Macaca mulatta: one gene and its partners. The protein of the gene in region 3 purifies or fractionates together with the protein of the main gene of each other region. This does not show direct contact. Links are inferred from orthologs where the notes say so. Each region holds a gene or a part of one and is shown on either strand. Other genes may lie near its edges.

Region 1 (4,012 bases), on a different chromosome or scaffold from region 3:
ACTGCACTCCAGCATGGGTGACAGAGGGAGACTCAGTCTCAAAAAAAAAAAAAAAAAAAAAAAAGTACATCTGTTGCAGTAACAAAGAATTCAACCAGGACTTTCCTGACAAGTTTCACCATAAGCTATATAGGCTATAACTGTGTTTAGGTACTTTCATTATTTCCTAGGCGTTATTATGAACTATGTATTCTATTTCCACAGTTCATTACACTTTTTTTTTTTTTTTCTGAGATGGAGTCTCACTCTGTCACCCAGGCTGGAGTGCAATGGCACCATCTCCACTCACTGCAACCTCCGCCTTTCAGGTTCAGTGATTCTCCTGCCTCAGCCTCCAGAGTAGCTAGAGGTTAATTTTTTTCTGTATTTTTAGTAGAGACAGGGTTTCACCATGTTGGCGAGGCTGGTCACCAACTCCTGGCCTCAAGTAATCTGCCCACCTTAGCCTCCCAAAGTGCTCGAACTACAGGCGTGAGAGCCACCGTGCCCAGCCAATTCATTACACTTTTTAAACTAGTTCCATGTTCATCGTTTTATCTGCCCCTCCCAATTGCCCCCTAAAGGTGAAGAACCCAGCAGACTTCGTATTCCTAAAGTTACGGAAACAAAAGTAGGACAAAAGCTACCGGTGGTGGCTCACGCCTGTAATCCCAGCACTCTGGGAGGCTGAGGCGGGTGGTTCACGAGGTCAGGAGATCGTGACCATCATGGCTAACACGGTGAAACTCCGTCTCTACTGAAAAATACAAAAATTAGCCGGGTGTGGTGGTGGGTGCCTGTAGTCTCAGCTACTCGGTAGGGTGAGGCAGGAGAATGGCGTGAACCCAGGAGGCAGAGCTTGCGGTGAGCCAAGATCGTGCCACTGCACTCCAGCCTGGGTGACAGAGCGAGACTCCGCCTCAAAAAGAAAAAAAAAGCTACCATACTGGGCCCACAATTCAAGTTTCATGAGCCTGCAATTCATGCTCACCAACTGCCACTTCATCCCCTTAAGCTGTCTTCCAGGGCAAAGAGAACTCTAACTACAAGGATGCAATAGTGTGATTGCCAAAACGGCAGCAACGACTTTTGTCAAAACATTTACCCCTTGTGGCCCTGAGAAGATAATGCGCTAAATGAACTGTGGAGTCAAGATAGTAAGGTGTGGGGGAATGCTGACACCCACCTGCAGCCAAGTCAGAAAATTTCTGTTGTGCAACACTGACCCCACACACAGTTCACTCGGGCATTCTCATGACCCAGTTACCTGGCTTGTTTGTGCACCCTGGTTGATGCAAAGAACTCCCACATAGTCCTTTACCTCTGCTCTAAGTATAATTACACCAAATGTACAACAGTTGATTAACATGGCAGTTGATTCTATTCATGACCCTCAAACAATATTGGGAAAAGACTGAGATACAGAATGATTTTAAAGATCAATAAAATTCTTCCCCCTTAAAAAAATCTAATTAAAAAATTAAGCAAAATATTCCATTTCCTAAATCAGAGGTAAAAAGACTTAACTATAGTTCATCTTGTCCTCTCAATCTTTTAATATTAAGCTCAGTTTAACTTCCCTCAACCAGCAATCACTTGTGTCATACCTAACAGTTAATACACAATGCCCAGTTTCTTCCATCACCATAACTGTGACTTCAGGTCCTGGGAAACAGGACTGAACCAGTTCACTAGGATGGCAGTGTATTGGTCCAGAGGCATTCAGATTATAATAATGTATTGCAGTAATTATAGGGCAGTTACTAAATGTCAGACTTCCCTTATTGTATACATATCTGAATGTAATCCTCACAGATCCATCAGGTATTATTATATCCATCACTTGACAAGAACGGGGGCACAAAGGGTAAGAAAACTGCCGAAGTTCACAGAGCAACAAATGACCAATGAAAGACTTGAGCCAGGGCCTTAACGTTAACCACTGCACTGCCTATCCCTGAACTATAATCCCAGCACCATCATTAAACTAATCGCATGACCTTGGGCCAGTCATTTCATACCTCTAGGCCTCCCCTGTAAAAACAGATGCATTAGATGAGTTTTCGGGTGCTTTCCTGCTTTTAACGCCCTGTCCATCTCCAACTGGATGACTCTCCTCCAGAATAGGTGCTGTAACTGTCAAGTTTCTCAACCACTGCGTGTTCTCCTTCTAGTACATTCCCCTTTCTCTTCAGGGAGCTAGGGTCCAGTCTACTCTTTGGATTTTCAAATACTAAACTGTAACGCTAATCCTAAACATTCCCCCTCGGTCTAACACCATCCTTCCCTACTGCTAGGGGTACCCAGCAGGCCCGATTCCACTCCACACTTTTACCCAGTTACTCCAGCCCACCTCGCGGCTGCCAGGCAGCAGGCAAAGAGGCCTAAGAAAGCCCTAGAAGCAAAGCCATAGGAATAAGTCAGCTTTCCCAGAGGTCAAGGAAGGCTGTAGGGCCACCTGCCACGCCTCCCGACCCCGGCCGCGCGGCCTGGGCCCGCTCCCCAACCAAAGAGGCCCGAATTCGGGCCTCCCCGCTCACGGCGGGCGCGTCGGACAGGGCCTGGGCCCTCAAGAGCCAGCCCGACCCCTCAGTCCCCGGCCACGCCCGACCCCTCAGCCGCAGAGGCGCTCCCAGCCCCCGGGGTCCTCAAGGCCCGAGGACGCACTCAGGTCTCCCGTCTCACCTCTAGCCTCCCGGGGACCGCGGGGCTGCCCGTGCCCCTTCCCGCCCGCACACCTGGCCCCGCGCCGCAGTAAAGACAGAGGCGGAGGCGGCCCGACCGTCACGTGCCGCAGAACCAACAGGCCTCGGACACCGCTGCCGCGCGAGCGAGCCCCACCGCACTAAGCCCGGCCCTGCGCCGCCCCTGGCCCCTCAGTAGCCACAGCCGGCGCCAAGTCCCGCCCACCCGCGCAAGCCCCGACATCCGGTTGGCCGGCGTGGGCATCGCTCTACGCACCGTCCCATACGCCCCCTACGGCTATTCTTCGTGGAGTGTGACGATTGGTCGGGAGTGAGGCAGGAAGTGGCTGTTGGTTGGGCGGGAGGTGAGGGGCGGGCCACGCTGGATCGAGAGCGCCGGGCGCGCGCGTCCCGGGGCGGGGCTGGCTTAACAGGCGTTCCCGCGCTCGGTTGCCGTGGTGCCTTCGGGGGCGTTCCAACCCAACCCCCAGCGGCCCTCACCCGTCTGGTTGCTGGAGCCGAGACTTGGGACGCATCGCGCGCCCTTAGCTGACGGGGCAAACGGCAGCAGGCGGGAGGGGTGGGAGTGCGACGATCAGCCATCAAGGAGGGCCGGTTGCAGCGAACGCGGGCCCTTATGGGCGTGAGCAGAACGCAGCGCGGGCGCCTGGCCGGCCAGCCGTGCCCCGCTCCGCGCCGTGTGAGCCGGCGCCGCAGTTCCTGCAGAGTCATGGCTCGGCGCAGGAGCCTGCGCAGCCTCGTCGCCCAGCATAACACACAGTCCAGAGTAACACAATCCGAGGTTATCTGAACTTTCAATTTATGTTTCCTGAAGTGAGATTAGGGGTCAGGGCAGAGGATGAGCCCTGAGATACAGGGATGACAGGATGAGAGAAGGCATGGTGCCCTGGAAAGATTTCAGATACGCCACCATTTTAGTAACCCACTCTTAGCACGTCTTCAGTTTTCAGTATGCTGAGAACCTCACAAAATGGAAGTGGCCCCGGGTTTTTCTAGACCTTTAGAGATCTTGATCTCTTGTCCTCTGTTTGGACACCCAAAGGCTTGAAAACTTGGGTGGAAAACACTAGAATCAGCGGATGTATCACTGATCTCAAAGCCCTCTTGCCACCTGGAAGGGGAAGAAAGGCAGGGTTTGGTGTTTGCATGAGTTAGTATCATCCAACCCTCAGCTCCCCAATTTTTTATTTTTATTTTTATTTTTTTGAGACGAAGTCTTGCTCTGTCGCTCAGGCTGGAGTGCAGTGGTGCGATCTTAGCTCACTACAACCTCCGCCTCCCGGGTTCAAGCGATTCTCCCTCAGCCTTCCGAGTCGCTTGGATTACAC
Region 2 (4,138 bases), on a different chromosome or scaffold from region 3:
CCCTATCCTCCAGGCACCCTGGATTGAGTCCCAGCCCTCTCTCAGGGTTATCTCTTACCTCAACAAAAGCAATTCCAAGAGCTGCTGCAGCCACCACCAGCACATTTTTCCTCAGCCAGCCCCCAATCTTCTCCACACAGCCCTGAAGGGTGGCAGGCACAAACGATAAAAGCACCATCAGAAACTTCCCACCCCAATCCCCTCCCCTGGTCCATCAATCTCTTCCCTGCCCCGGTACCTTTCACCCCACCCTTACCATTTCCAGATCCCCTCCCCATCCCTGACGCTGTCCACCTCCATCCTGGGTCTCTTGCCTTCTAAAATATTTCCCAGGTTTTCCAAGTCCCATACACAGTTTCCTCCCTACCTCCTTATGGATCGCCTTCTCGTTGAAATTAATCCCACAGCCCACAGTGACATTAATGCAGCAGGAGTCAGGGACTCGGTTCTTCGACATGGAAGGGATTTTCTCCCAATCTGTGTAGTTAGCAGCCCCACAGCACTTAAACTGGGGTAGGGAAGAAATATGGAGAAGGGAGTTAAGTGAACCTTCACCATCAATATGGAGATGAGAATTGTTTTTTTTTTTTTTTTTTTTTTTTTTTTTTTTGAGACAGACTTGCTCTGTTGCCCAGACTGGAGTGTGGTGGCTTGATCTCGGCTCACTGCAACCTCTGCCTTCTGGGTTCAAGCGATTCTCCTGCCTCACCCTCCTGAGTAGCTGGGATTACAGGCACTCACCACCACACCTGGCTAATTTTTGTATTTTTAGTAGAGAAAGGGTTTTGGCCTCCAAAAGTGCTGAGATTACAGGTGTGAGCCACCACACCCAGCCTTGGAGATGAGAATTCTCTATTCCCATCACCCCTGCTCCCAGCAACCCCACTCACATCTGCCTGCATCCTGTCCAGGATCGAAGCAGTGTGGTTGTTTTTCGGGTAATTCTCCATCTGCTGCCGGAAGTTGTTATTAAACTCTGACATCACCTGAGGGTACGGAGGAGCACTGTTGCCGTCAGAATTCAAGCACCTGGGTCCCAGACCAGGCTGAGGCAGGCCCTTCCCATTATTCCCTGCTTACCTTATCTCTAAACACATAGCCAGCAATGGCTGCGGCCACCTCCACCAACATGATAAGAGACAGAAAGATGGCAAACTGCAGGAGCAAAGGACAGGAGTCAGGTTTGGAGTCTATGCATTACAGGGGCCCGTTCTGGCATAGCCGGTCCCTGGACACTCACAAAGGTCTTCCTCACCCACCCACCTCACCTCACCCACCTTCCTGAGCACCAACCAAGTTGCTCTGGCAGTCCCAGACCACCCATGTTAGTCCCGCCTCCCACTCACCGTGATCATAAGACAATAGTTCTCCTTGCAGGCCCCGCAGCAGCCCACAAAGGCCACGAGGAAGAGGAAGACACCCACTGCGATGATGACCACAGGCAACAGAGAGCCAGGGGTAGCCCCCTGGATTATGGTCTGACTCAGGACAAGCTGTGCCCCGACACCCACAGCAATCAGTCCCACTGCACAGGCCTAAGAGGAAAGCAGGTGAGGATTAGGCCTGATCCACAACACAGTGGTCCTCCATGGTGGAGGACAAGGGGTACACCTAGGACACAGACATGACCCCATCCGGAGGAGAGATTCTCACACCTCCAGGGAACTTCTTTGGCTGTAGGGAAGGGGGATGACCCATCCTTGCCTGCCCCCATCTCCCTTGATCCCCTCCCAGCTCTTCAATCAGGGACGTGACCAAATTCAAAGACCTCCCAGAAAGCCTTGACCCCAAGGCACGTATTTCTGACCTAGAATAATGCTTTCTACGGGCCTCCAGGACTCCCAGCTCAATTCTCTCCCAGAACTGCTCCCTCACTATCCTCCAGTGCACACCCCACGCGCATCAGCTGTGACTAAGGTTCCTCTGGCCAGTTAAGCCAGGAGAAGGGAAGAGGAAAAGGCGGCAAGAGTGATGTGCCCCTCCCTAGACAAACAGTAGCCTCTCAAGCCAGGAGCCCAGGACAGGAGCAAATTGAGGTGGGCAGAGCCCTTCCTCGCTCCCAAGCGCTGGGAGGACGGAAAGGGGGAGAGGGACTGGAGAGGGATGAGGGGGTTGGGGAGGAAGAGAGGGGAGAAGGGAGAGCGAAGGGAAGCCTCGTGGCGATAGCATCAGGCGGTTGGCTGGTTGCCCCACTGCCCCATATCACAAGTGGTTGGGTCACCAGACAGGAAGGGCCAGGAAGGAGGGATGGGGGTAGGGGTTGCTGCACACCCAGGATGGCCATTCTCGGTGGAAACAAGCCTCAGGTGTCCAGGAAAACTGGAGGAGGGAGTGGCCGCGCTGTCTTTCCCTGGCTTTCTTTCCACATCTGGTCTCCAGCTGCCTTAATTATTCCCTCAGCCCTCACCACTGTGGAGCCAGGTCTCCCCGCACCCTGCCGGCGCGCCCCCCAGGACCCCTCGCCACTCACGCAAAAGGCCAGCAGGAGGACGTAGAGCAAGAACTTCACACATTTCATTCCTCCTTCCACCGCCATGGCTGCCGGGCCTGGGGCAGAGAGGAGGGCGGGGGGATTAAAACCGGCCGAAGGGGGACCTCGGTTTCCGGGCTCCTGGCCGGCCCTCGAGGGCTTCCCTACACGGCCCCGATTCCCGGCCCCTCCCACCCGGAAACCCGCGGTCGGAACCACGTCTCCCAGCCCCCTCTCTACCCGCAGGAGAGGGGTGGGGGCGACCACCGCGAAGCCCGGACCCCGCCCCGCCGCCTCTGGGGCCCAGGATAGATCCGAGGGCGCCGGTAGGGGCTCGAGCCTGACGCCGACCCTCGGCCCTTCAGTCTCCAGGCGTCAAACACCCTCTCCCCACCCAACACCCAGCCCGGAGAAACGGTCTTCAGCCCAACCCCGACCCCTGCCCCAGTCGCTTTCCCCTGGGCTCTGACCTCCCGCCCACCAAAAAAAAAAAAGGTGCGGCCGGCACCCCCGCCACACCCTGCCCGGGCCCAGGGAAGTTCGAATCAAAGTTGCTCGAGGGCGGCTGGAGAGCGCCGGGCGAGTCTCCGCGGGCCTGGGGCGAGCCCTGGAGGAAGGGACCGCCGGTGGTCTCTCCCAGCCCGCGCCGAAGTCCGCCGGGGCCCCGCGGCCTCACCTGGGCTCCCCAAGGCTGCGCGCTCCTCTCCCGCCGCGGCTCCGGGGCTCTCTAGCTGCGCCCCCCGGCTCCCGCCCCGCCTGCCGCGCGGCCCCGCCCCGGGCTCCAGCCACGGTCCCCTCCCCCGCCCAGTGGCCGCCGGCCTCCCTCATGTGACGCGGGAACAGCTGCGGCCTGAGTCACTGGGCCCGGCGCGGGGTGGGCCGAGCCCCCCGCCCGGCCAGGGCCACGTGGCCCCTACCCGGAAGAAGGCGCCCACCCCCCGCAAACGGAGAGCCGAAAAGGCAAGACCTCGGGGCGCCTGGGGCCCCCCTCTCGCGCCCCGCCTCCGTGCCAACTCGGGGTAGGAGAGCAGGGCGGAGCGCAGCCTGGGTCACTCTGGTTTAGAGAAGCGGACGAGCTAGGTGAGAGTTATCCTGAGCGCCGGGGCGGAGAGCTGAGGCCCGGTGACAAGGTGGTCTGAGAGAGGTTTCCCCATCCTTCTCCAGTAGCCCAGCTCTCTCCTCTGGCTCCAACTCTGTGCAAGCCCCCTCCCCATCCGACTGTGCAGACAGCTGGGGACTGCCTGGGGTCGGGTGGGGCCAGAACCAACAGTTCCAGAAAGTCCCTGGCCTCACATACTGGGTGTCTCCCAACATTCTAGAGCATTCTAGAGTGGGGATTTCTGACCCCCCTATATTAGCATAGCTTCTCCATTTTCCAGGGTTCCTAGTCTGAGAAAAGGGGAGGAAGCCCTTCCCCGAAGCCACGCTACCCAGTCAATCAATCCACGTCCGCGTCGGGTCCCGCCCTCTGGGGGAGGATTGACAAGGTCTGCCCTCCCAACTCCCGGACAGCTCCTGCATCGTCTGTGATAGCGAGGGTTTGGGGGAAGACACGAAGGTAGAGGCTTACATCCTCTGGATTTCCTCGTCTTATCCCAGAAGACAAAGCCAGGTGAGGGCTGGAAGCGGGCTAGGGGGTCAAGCTGCCTCCCTCCCTTGTGTGCCAGG
Region 3 (3,500 bases):
AAATTTGTTATTTAAGGATAATACTGGTGGGGCACAGTGGCTCACACCTGTAATCCCAGCACTTTGGGAGGCCAAGGCAGGTGGAACACCAGAGGTCAGGACTTCAAGGCCAGCCCAGCCAACATGGTGAAACCCCGTCTCTACTAAAAATAAAAAAATTAGCCTAGCGTGGTGGCAGGCACCTGTAATCCCAGATACTTGGGAGGCTGAGGCAGGAGAATCGCTGGAATCTGGAAAGCAGAGGTTGCAGTGAGCTGTCATCACACCACTGCACTCCAGGTTGGGCGACAGAGCAAGACTCTGTCTCAAAAAAAAAAAAAAAAAAAAAAGAAAAGGAAAAGAAAAAAGGATAATATTATTCTAGGCATAGGACTGTTGTGAGGATTAGAGCTGACAGGCTGATTTCATATACTAGAGTGCATTTGCCAAATACAACCACCCCATACAATACAGAGTACTGACTCCCTGTGATAGATGAGAAGTGAAGTGGCTCAATGCTGTTCTGCTTACTAAGTGGAAGAGGTGGGATTTGACCTAATGTCTAACTAATTGCAAAGCACATTCTCTTTTCACTACAACATAGCTGCTGTTCTATATCACATGACTTATTTTACAGTCTTTCTAAGAAAAACGCGAAGTTAACACACAAAAAGAAAAGCCACAATAGCGATATTTAAAGCCAGACTTAAAAAAAGACCAGCAATAGTGATAAGGACACACAGTGCAGTAAAAAAGATAAAAGTTCACATGCAAAGGCAGAAAGTGAAGGAAAATACGAACGGCAATTTAGAGACCAGCTTTACGTCCGTAGTTTGGATTCTTGAAATTATTAATAGGACTCTTGTAAATCGGATTTTCTTGCTAAAGTAAAAGAAATAGTTTCTAATGATTTCATCAGAAAAAAAAAGGACATTTATAGTGTTCAAACACTATAAAGGGAATTTTTTTTCTATTTCTACCCTTCTGCAATTTATAATTTAAAAAACTGATAATTTTAAAAAACCCAAGGAAATTGTAGTAAAGTGCAACTAACTACAATTCATTTACAATTTAAAAATACTGAAGATTGTCATTGCTTTCTTGTATCAAAAGATGGATACACAAAGGCCAACATTTGGTTACCCCACCCTCTGACTCCTTATTTCAAAGCTCTAAAAATGCTAACATAAACTTTCAGTCACTTAGGGCTTTTAAGATTTTTATAAGCTAAGGTTTACTGAGATACAGTTTTCATAGAGGAACACACATCTTTTTAAAGTACATAGTTCTGTGAGTTTTCAAATACATAAATCTACCCACAATCAAGATCATCCCCAGGAAGATTCCTTACGCCCTGTTGTGGTCAACCCTTTCCTCCGTTCCAGCCCCTAGCAACCACTGATTTTTGCCCCTACAGTTTTGCTTTTCCAGAATATCTTCTAAATGGAATCATATTGTATACAGCAGGGGTGTCCAATCTTTTGGCTTCCCTGGGCCACATTGGAATGATTGTCTTGGGCCACACATAAAATACACTAACAATAGCCGATAAGCTTAAAAAAAAGTCACCAAAAAAAAAAAAACAACTTACAATTTCTAAGAAAGTTTACAAATTTGTGTTGGGGCCACATTCAAAGCTGTTCTGGTCTGCATGTCCTGGCCCACAAGCTGCAAGTTGGACAAACTTGGTATACAACCTTTTGAATCTGGCTTTCATTGAAGGTTGTTTTTTTGTTTCTTTTTTTAAAGAAAGAAACAGCTTTCCATTGAATAGCTTGCTACACAGATAACATTATTTAGGATTCTGCCCCACATTAGATGAAAAGGCAGATTTAGGATCGAAACTATTAAAGAAATAAAAATACTGGCCACAGTAACCAGAATATACATGCTTATAATCAATGTTTTGTTTCAATGGGATATATTTAGGATGCTTTCTGTTTTTCACTAAATGCAAATTCCTTGAGTAACTTTTGGGGGAATAAAACACTTAAAAATGACTTTAATGATCACCCTGACAGTTAATATATAAGTCTTAGGAGTATTACATTTACTTTATGAGCCACTTTGCTTTTTAGATGTTTTGTAACTTACTGTGTCCCATTTGGCATTCATTTTCTCCTTTTCAAATTTAGCAAACTCCCTTCTGTCATGAATTATCATTAAAAGCTTCCATATCAGCAGTAATGCAAGGCCAATAAGAACAATTCCAGCAACCACACCAGCTACAATTGGAATGATGTCTGGACCAGTGGGACACTCTGGAAAATAAGGAGGTTATAATAAGTACCACAAAGCTGGGCAGTATCTTATTAAAAAAAAATATAGGAATAAACACCCAAGAGAGTGAATGCACACTATCCCAAAGAATCTATAAAATAGCTTTTAGAACTAACAAGTGAGTTTACAAGCTTGCAGGATACATAATCAATGAACAAAAATCATGTACTTTTCTATATATATAATTTATTTCCACATATTGAAAACAGAAATTTTTAAACAGTAATATTTACTATAGAATGAAAAAGCATGAAAAACTTACATATAAGTCTAACAAAATATATGCAAAATTTGCATGTTAAGAATTACTAAACACTGATAAAAAGAAATCTTTCAGACTGAATAAATGGAGAGATACTCCATGTGCAGGAGTTACAAAACCTAATACTGTTAAGATGTCAATTCTTCCCAGTTTGATCTATAAACTCAATAGTATCCCACTCAAACTCCTGGCAGAACTTCTGTAGCAATCAGCAAGCCAATTTTAAAATTAACGTGGAAGGCAGTGAACTAGGGGAAGTGTCTCAAAAACACTTTTGTAAAATAATAAAGTTGGAAGACTCTTATTACCTGCTTTCAGGGCTAGCTATAAAGAAAGCTACAAGACCACGTGGTATAGCTAACAGATAGACACTCAGATACATGGAACAGAATAGAGTCAGAAACAGGCCTACACATGTAAGGTCACCTGATTTCCAACAAAGGTGGAGAAAGGACAGTCTTTTTTCAACAAATGCCCCTAGAACAAGTGGACACTGATATGAAAAAAACTGAGCCTTTTGTCACACACTAAGAATAACTAAAGATGAGTTACAGATCTAAATGTGAAACCCCAGAAACTATAAAACTTCTAGAAAAAAACACAGGAGAAAAATCCTTAAAATCTTGGGTTAGGCAGAGTTCTGAAAGACAATGTAAAAATAAGAGCCACAAAAGAAAAACTTGGTAAACTGTACTTAATCAAAATTAAAACCTGTGGTGTTCAAAAGACACTTAAAAAAATGAAACGATAAGGAGGCACAGGCTGGGAGACAATATTTGCAAAACACCTAGATGATAATTCAAAACACTACAGGACTCTAAGAACCTGGCAGCTTCTTACAAAGTTAAACATATGCTTACCATATGCTCCAAAATGCCATTTTTACTATTTACCCAAGAGAAATGAAAGCTTATGTTTACACAAAAACATATACACTAAGGTAGAAAATTCTAAAGAATCTACAAAAAGGCTACCAGGA
Region 4 (4,099 bases), on a different chromosome or scaffold from region 3:
TAGAGGAAAGAAGAAGGAGAAAGAAGATGCTGGAAGTCACTTACTTCAAAGGCCTTAGTTTACCAAGCCTGGATAAAAAATACATTCGAACATACATACAGCAAAAAATACATTCAAGGTCTAAGACAAAGAATATTGGGAAAAAAGGAAAGAGAAAAAAAGGATGGGGAGGAAAACACTTGAAAACAACAGCATGAGAACAGAAATCAAGGCGACAACAAAATCTAAGAAAAAATTAAGTCAATGTGGTGGGTGGGGGAGTAAAACGAAGCATTATTTTTAGAAGATTTCAGTAAAGTTGGTGCCTGAACAGCTACAGGAACAAGCACTCCAACACAAAAAAGCAGCCAGCTTGTATCACAACAAGAGAGGGCACTTTTGAGCCCAGCAGCCCAGCTACATGGGTTCCCATGGACCCCTGAAATACCAGTCCCACATCTCAACTGGCAACAAGGATATGCACAGCATTATTGCCCAGCTCCACATCCCCTCCCTACCATTTACCCTGGGTAACAAGTTGAAGGCCACAATGTCTTTTCCTACACTGGCCAAATCTGCTCACAACAGCTTTTCTTTATCCCCTTTTTAAATCAAAGTAGGCTGAACACCTTTTCTCTGTCAGATCTGCTCTCGTCTCTACCCATTCCTTTCCCAGGCAGGGTGGCTTTGACCTGTGGCCCATGCAAATCCACAGTGACAGTGGCCTGGCCTCTCTCCCTCTAGCTGTCAAAGAGCTCTAAGGCACTTGAGCCAACCTCAGCCTGCAGATCACATACAATGCTCTGGCTGGCTTGGCTGCCTGCTCAGCTGTCGGCCCTTTCTCAGCAGCCCCCTGTCCGCAGTAGCCCTCCCATTTTTGACAGCGCTGCCCATGTGCTTGGTGCCTAGTGTGGGGATCTGGGATGTGTTCTTCAACCTCAGACCCTGAGTCTGCAGGACACAGAAAAATGTTCAGCCTGCTCTGCTTTAAAAGGGGAATTTGACAAGTGTAAGAACAGACACGCTGTCTTAAACCCAGCAACTGGAGTGAGAGAGGGGGATGTGGAGCTGGGCGAGAGCTATGTGAGGGCTTTGAAATCTGGTTCTCTTGGAGGCTGATCTCCTGAACAACATTATTCTTAGTGGGATGGTCTCGGAGTCCCCTTTTCCGGGAATGCCTGAGTATTGCGATCCACAAATCACCCTTTTCCATCAGCCTCTGTCCAATACAGAGCAGTGACTCTCCTGCATAACTTCATGCACCGGCAACAGTGACCTCGACCTCCCTGCCTGCCACCCCTAAGGCCGCTCAGGCTGGTGACTACACAATAAAATCAACCCCAGCCTGGCTGTCACCTGGGCCCCCACTGAGGCATGACCTTGAACGGGGGAACTTCCTGCAGCCTAACTCTCTCTCCTATCAAGAAGTGACCACTATGTGGCTGTTCATTCCCTCGGGTCCAGAGGAAGTGGCCAGTGAGGGCACCAACCTCCCCTTAGTGCTTCTCTGCTGGGGTTGGGCACAAGCTCTGTACCACTCAGCTTATGGTGCTTCATGGGGGAGGGCCGCCCCCTTCTTCAGGCCCACCTCTTCGTACTCAGGAGACAGCTGGACCCCTTGGCCTCTATAGAAACACGTCTCTCTCTTAAGGCTTCTGGTGAAGGTCTCCAGGTCGAATGGCCCGTATGAGATGAGACTCAGGCTGCCGCAAGAAACACCTACCTGACCCACTGGCGGTGTCACTCGTAGGTGCTCCCTCACCCTCCTCTTCCCTATATCCCAGGAGCTTCTCCGCTTCACTTCCACCCAGGGTCTTGTAGGGGCGGGGTGGGAGGGGGTGGCTCTGGGCTCCAGTGCGCCCTAAGGGATCCCAGACACCCTGTCCCTGGGGAGCCCCACCCCGCGCAGCGGCGCTGTAGAGGCTATACCACTTCCTCAGGGGTTCCCCAAAATCGGGGAGAGGTGCAGCTCCAGTGCCCCGACTCCTCCAGGCCCTGCGAGGTTCAGGAAGCTCACCGGGCCAGCGGCGGCCACTCGGAGGCAGAGGAGCCAAGTTACTTTGCGATCCAGAGAGCGAAGCCGAGTCTGGCTGGGCGGCGGAGAGACAACTCTAGCGGCTCTCCCCGCACGCTCCGGGCTGGGACCCCGGGGAGGGGCCCGGACGCCCCCGTCCGCCTCCAGGCGCCGACCCCGACCTCAGAGGGCCCCGGACGGCGTCCTCCCTTCTCCCGCCGTCCCCCCGGCGGCCAAGCCGCGCGCAACAGAGACATTTAAATCGCCCCCTCGGGACGGCGGCATGGAGGAGGCCGGAAAGGCGGCGGCGGCGCTGGCCTGGGGACCAGGGCGGTGGCCGCGCGGGCCAGGGTCGCGGAGCTGGGCGGGCACTCACCAGCGCGTGTTGTCGTGGAAATGCTCCAGAACCGCGTAGCCGAAGAACGAGTCGGCGGGGCCCTGGAAGTGCACCGGACGCTGCGGGTCGAGGTTGTAGGCGCCCGCGGGGATCCCCGCGACCACCAGCGCCAGCAGCAGCGCGCGGAGCCCCCCGGCGCCCCTCGGCGCAGCCGGGCCGCCCATCCCTAGCTGGCCGCCGCCGCCTTCCCCTCTGCCCGGCGAGCAGGGCGCCGAGCGCGCGGGCCGCGGGGTCAGCCGACGGCCGGGAAGCTCCCCGGGGCGGGAGCTCTGCGCCTGGACACGGGCGGGATGCGGGCGTCGGGCCCGGCACCGGGGCGCGGACGGCGAGCTGAGCGGGCGCTGAAGGCGAGCACAGGGACGGCCCCGAGCGGTGGGCGTCCTCAGTCCGCCCGAGAAGTCTGCGCGAGCGGGTCCCGGGCCGGGCGGCGCTGGACTGCGGAGGGGCGCGCCCGCAGGGTGGGCGGCCCGGGCGGCAGCGGCTGGACGGCGCGGCAGCGCCCCCTGCGGGCTGCGAGCCCTGCGCGCACTTCCCGGGCGGGAGTCAGCCTCGGGGACCCGCCGAGGCGCCCGGAGCTGCCCCCTCCCCGCCGCGCACGGGGCGCTCGGGTTCCCGGAGATAAAGCTGCTGCCCTCCGCCACTACAGGCTCTGCCGGCCCTAGTGGGCCTGTCTCCCTGTTTTTGTCTCTCTTTCCCTCCCTGTCTCACAACCAGTAAGATCCAAAGCAACCCCGGTGAAAGACAAGTTCAGACTCCAGATTCTAGCCCTGCGCATCCTCTGCTCCTTCACCCAGTTGTGAGATAAGCTGTAGGAGCAGTGCTCAGTAAACGCCCGCTGTTGTTGTTCATAACAATAGTAGCCACGTGGAAGCGAGCAGAGCACCCCTCCATATTCTAGTCACTTGGTCTCATACACCAGTGATTCCCTAAGTGTGGTGTCTGGACCAGCAGCATCAACGTCATCTAGGAACTTGTAAGAAAAAGCAAATCCTCAGGTCCCACTCAGCTCTGCTAAATCAGAAGCTCTGTGGGTTGGAATCCAGCAGGGTCTGCGTGCACTCAAGGGTGTGTGTGTGTGTAATTGTAAATATGCATAAGAGAAAGTCTACCATCTTAACCATTTTTAACTGTGCCGTTTGGGGGATTAAGTATATGCATGTTATGCAACCATCACCACCATCCAACTTCAGAACTCTTCATCTTGGAAAACAAACTTTATACCCTAAACAATAACTCCTCTTTCCCCCAACCCTACCCCCATCCCCACCACCAGCCTCTGGCAACCACCTTTCTACCTTCTGTCTCTATGAACCTGACTACTCAAATTCAAGATTCCTACTGAATTGACTGCTATCATGTTGAAGTCTGACCACACTCTTGTGGTTTCCCTGCCTGTGTTCTCTTCTTTCCACTTTTTAATTCTACAACAGAGTTTGGACAATGGTTAAAAACTTCCTGTTGCCCCCCACCAGCTACTCCTGCCTATAGGATGGAGCCAGGTCTCCTTAGCATAACTTCAAATGGAGGCTCCATCTGTTTCCAGCCCCATTTTATGCCCCTTTCCTGACTCACTTCCCACAAACCCTACAATGTATCCACACACAACTTCTAGCTGTCCCCTGAATGTGTCCAGCAGGGGTTTTCACACACGTTGTGCCCTCTCCAACACTTCTTTCTTCCTGAAATGTGTCTACCTAGGATTTTCAACT

Evidence for each region. Proteins that work in one complex are often made in the same cells at the same time.
Region 1: the proteins of ITGB1 (region 3) and CANX purify together in Homo sapiens (affinity purification with mass spectrometry; 3 studies listed by BioGRID and IntAct, with this or other methods). This does not show direct contact. The link is inferred for Macaca mulatta from reciprocal best matches to the Homo sapiens genes ITGB1 and CANX.
Region 2: the proteins of ITGB1 (region 3) and CD63 purify together in Homo sapiens (affinity purification with western blotting; 3 studies listed by BioGRID and IntAct, with this or other methods). This does not show direct contact. The link is inferred for Macaca mulatta from reciprocal best matches to the Homo sapiens genes ITGB1 and CD63.
Region 4: the proteins of ITGB1 (region 3) and ITGA9 purify together in Homo sapiens (affinity purification with mass spectrometry; 3 studies listed by BioGRID and IntAct, counting the BioPlex papers as one, with this or other methods). This does not show direct contact. The link is inferred for Macaca mulatta from reciprocal best matches to the Homo sapiens genes ITGB1 and ITGA9.

What each region holds. Positions count from the first base shown.
Region 1 is NC_133411.1:188,686,871-188,690,882, reverse strand, and holds the start of CANX (calnexin), read right to left. Parts: upstream 2,801-4,012; 5' UTR 2,665-2,800; intron 1-2,664. UniProt on the Homo sapiens protein: Calcium-binding protein that interacts with newly synthesized monoglucosylated glycoproteins in the endoplasmic reticulum. It may act in assisting protein assembly and/or in the retention within the ER of unassembled protein subunits.
Region 2 is NC_133416.1:62,876,435-62,880,572, forward strand, and holds the start of CD63 (CD63 antigen), read right to left. Parts: upstream 2,801-4,138; intron 2,679-2,800; coding exon of another isoform or gene 2,537-2,678; coding exon 2,471-2,536; intron 1,536-2,470; coding exon 1,347-1,535; intron 1,156-1,346; coding exon 1,081-1,155; intron 987-1,080; coding exon 891-986; intron 509-890; coding exon 368-508; intron 143-367; coding exon 59-142; intron 1-58. Other genes in the region: uncharacterized protein LOC144332662, read left to right, coding at 2,535-2,678, 2,801-3,493. UniProt on the Homo sapiens protein: Functions as a cell surface receptor for TIMP1 and plays a role in the activation of cellular signaling cascades. Plays a role in the activation of ITGB1 and integrin signaling, leading to the activation of AKT, FAK/PTK2 and MAP kinases.
Region 3 is NC_133414.1:34,292,960-34,296,459, forward strand, and holds part of ITGB1 (integrin beta-1), read right to left. Parts: intron 2,241-3,500; coding exon 2,074-2,240; intron 862-2,073; coding exon of another isoform or gene 787-861; exon of another isoform or gene 781-786; intron 1-780.
Region 4 is NC_133407.1:99,705,681-99,709,779, reverse strand, and holds the start of ITGA9 (integrin alpha-9), read right to left. Parts: upstream 2,801-4,099; 5' UTR 2,555-2,800; coding exon 2,370-2,554; intron 2,110-2,369; exon of another isoform or gene 1,703-2,109; intron 1-1,702. UniProt on the Homo sapiens protein: Integrin alpha-9/beta-1 (ITGA9:ITGB1) is a receptor for VCAM1, cytotactin and osteopontin. It recognizes the sequence A-E-I-D-G-I-E-L in cytotactin. ITGA9:ITGB1 may play a crucial role in SVEP1/polydom-mediated myoblast cell adhesion.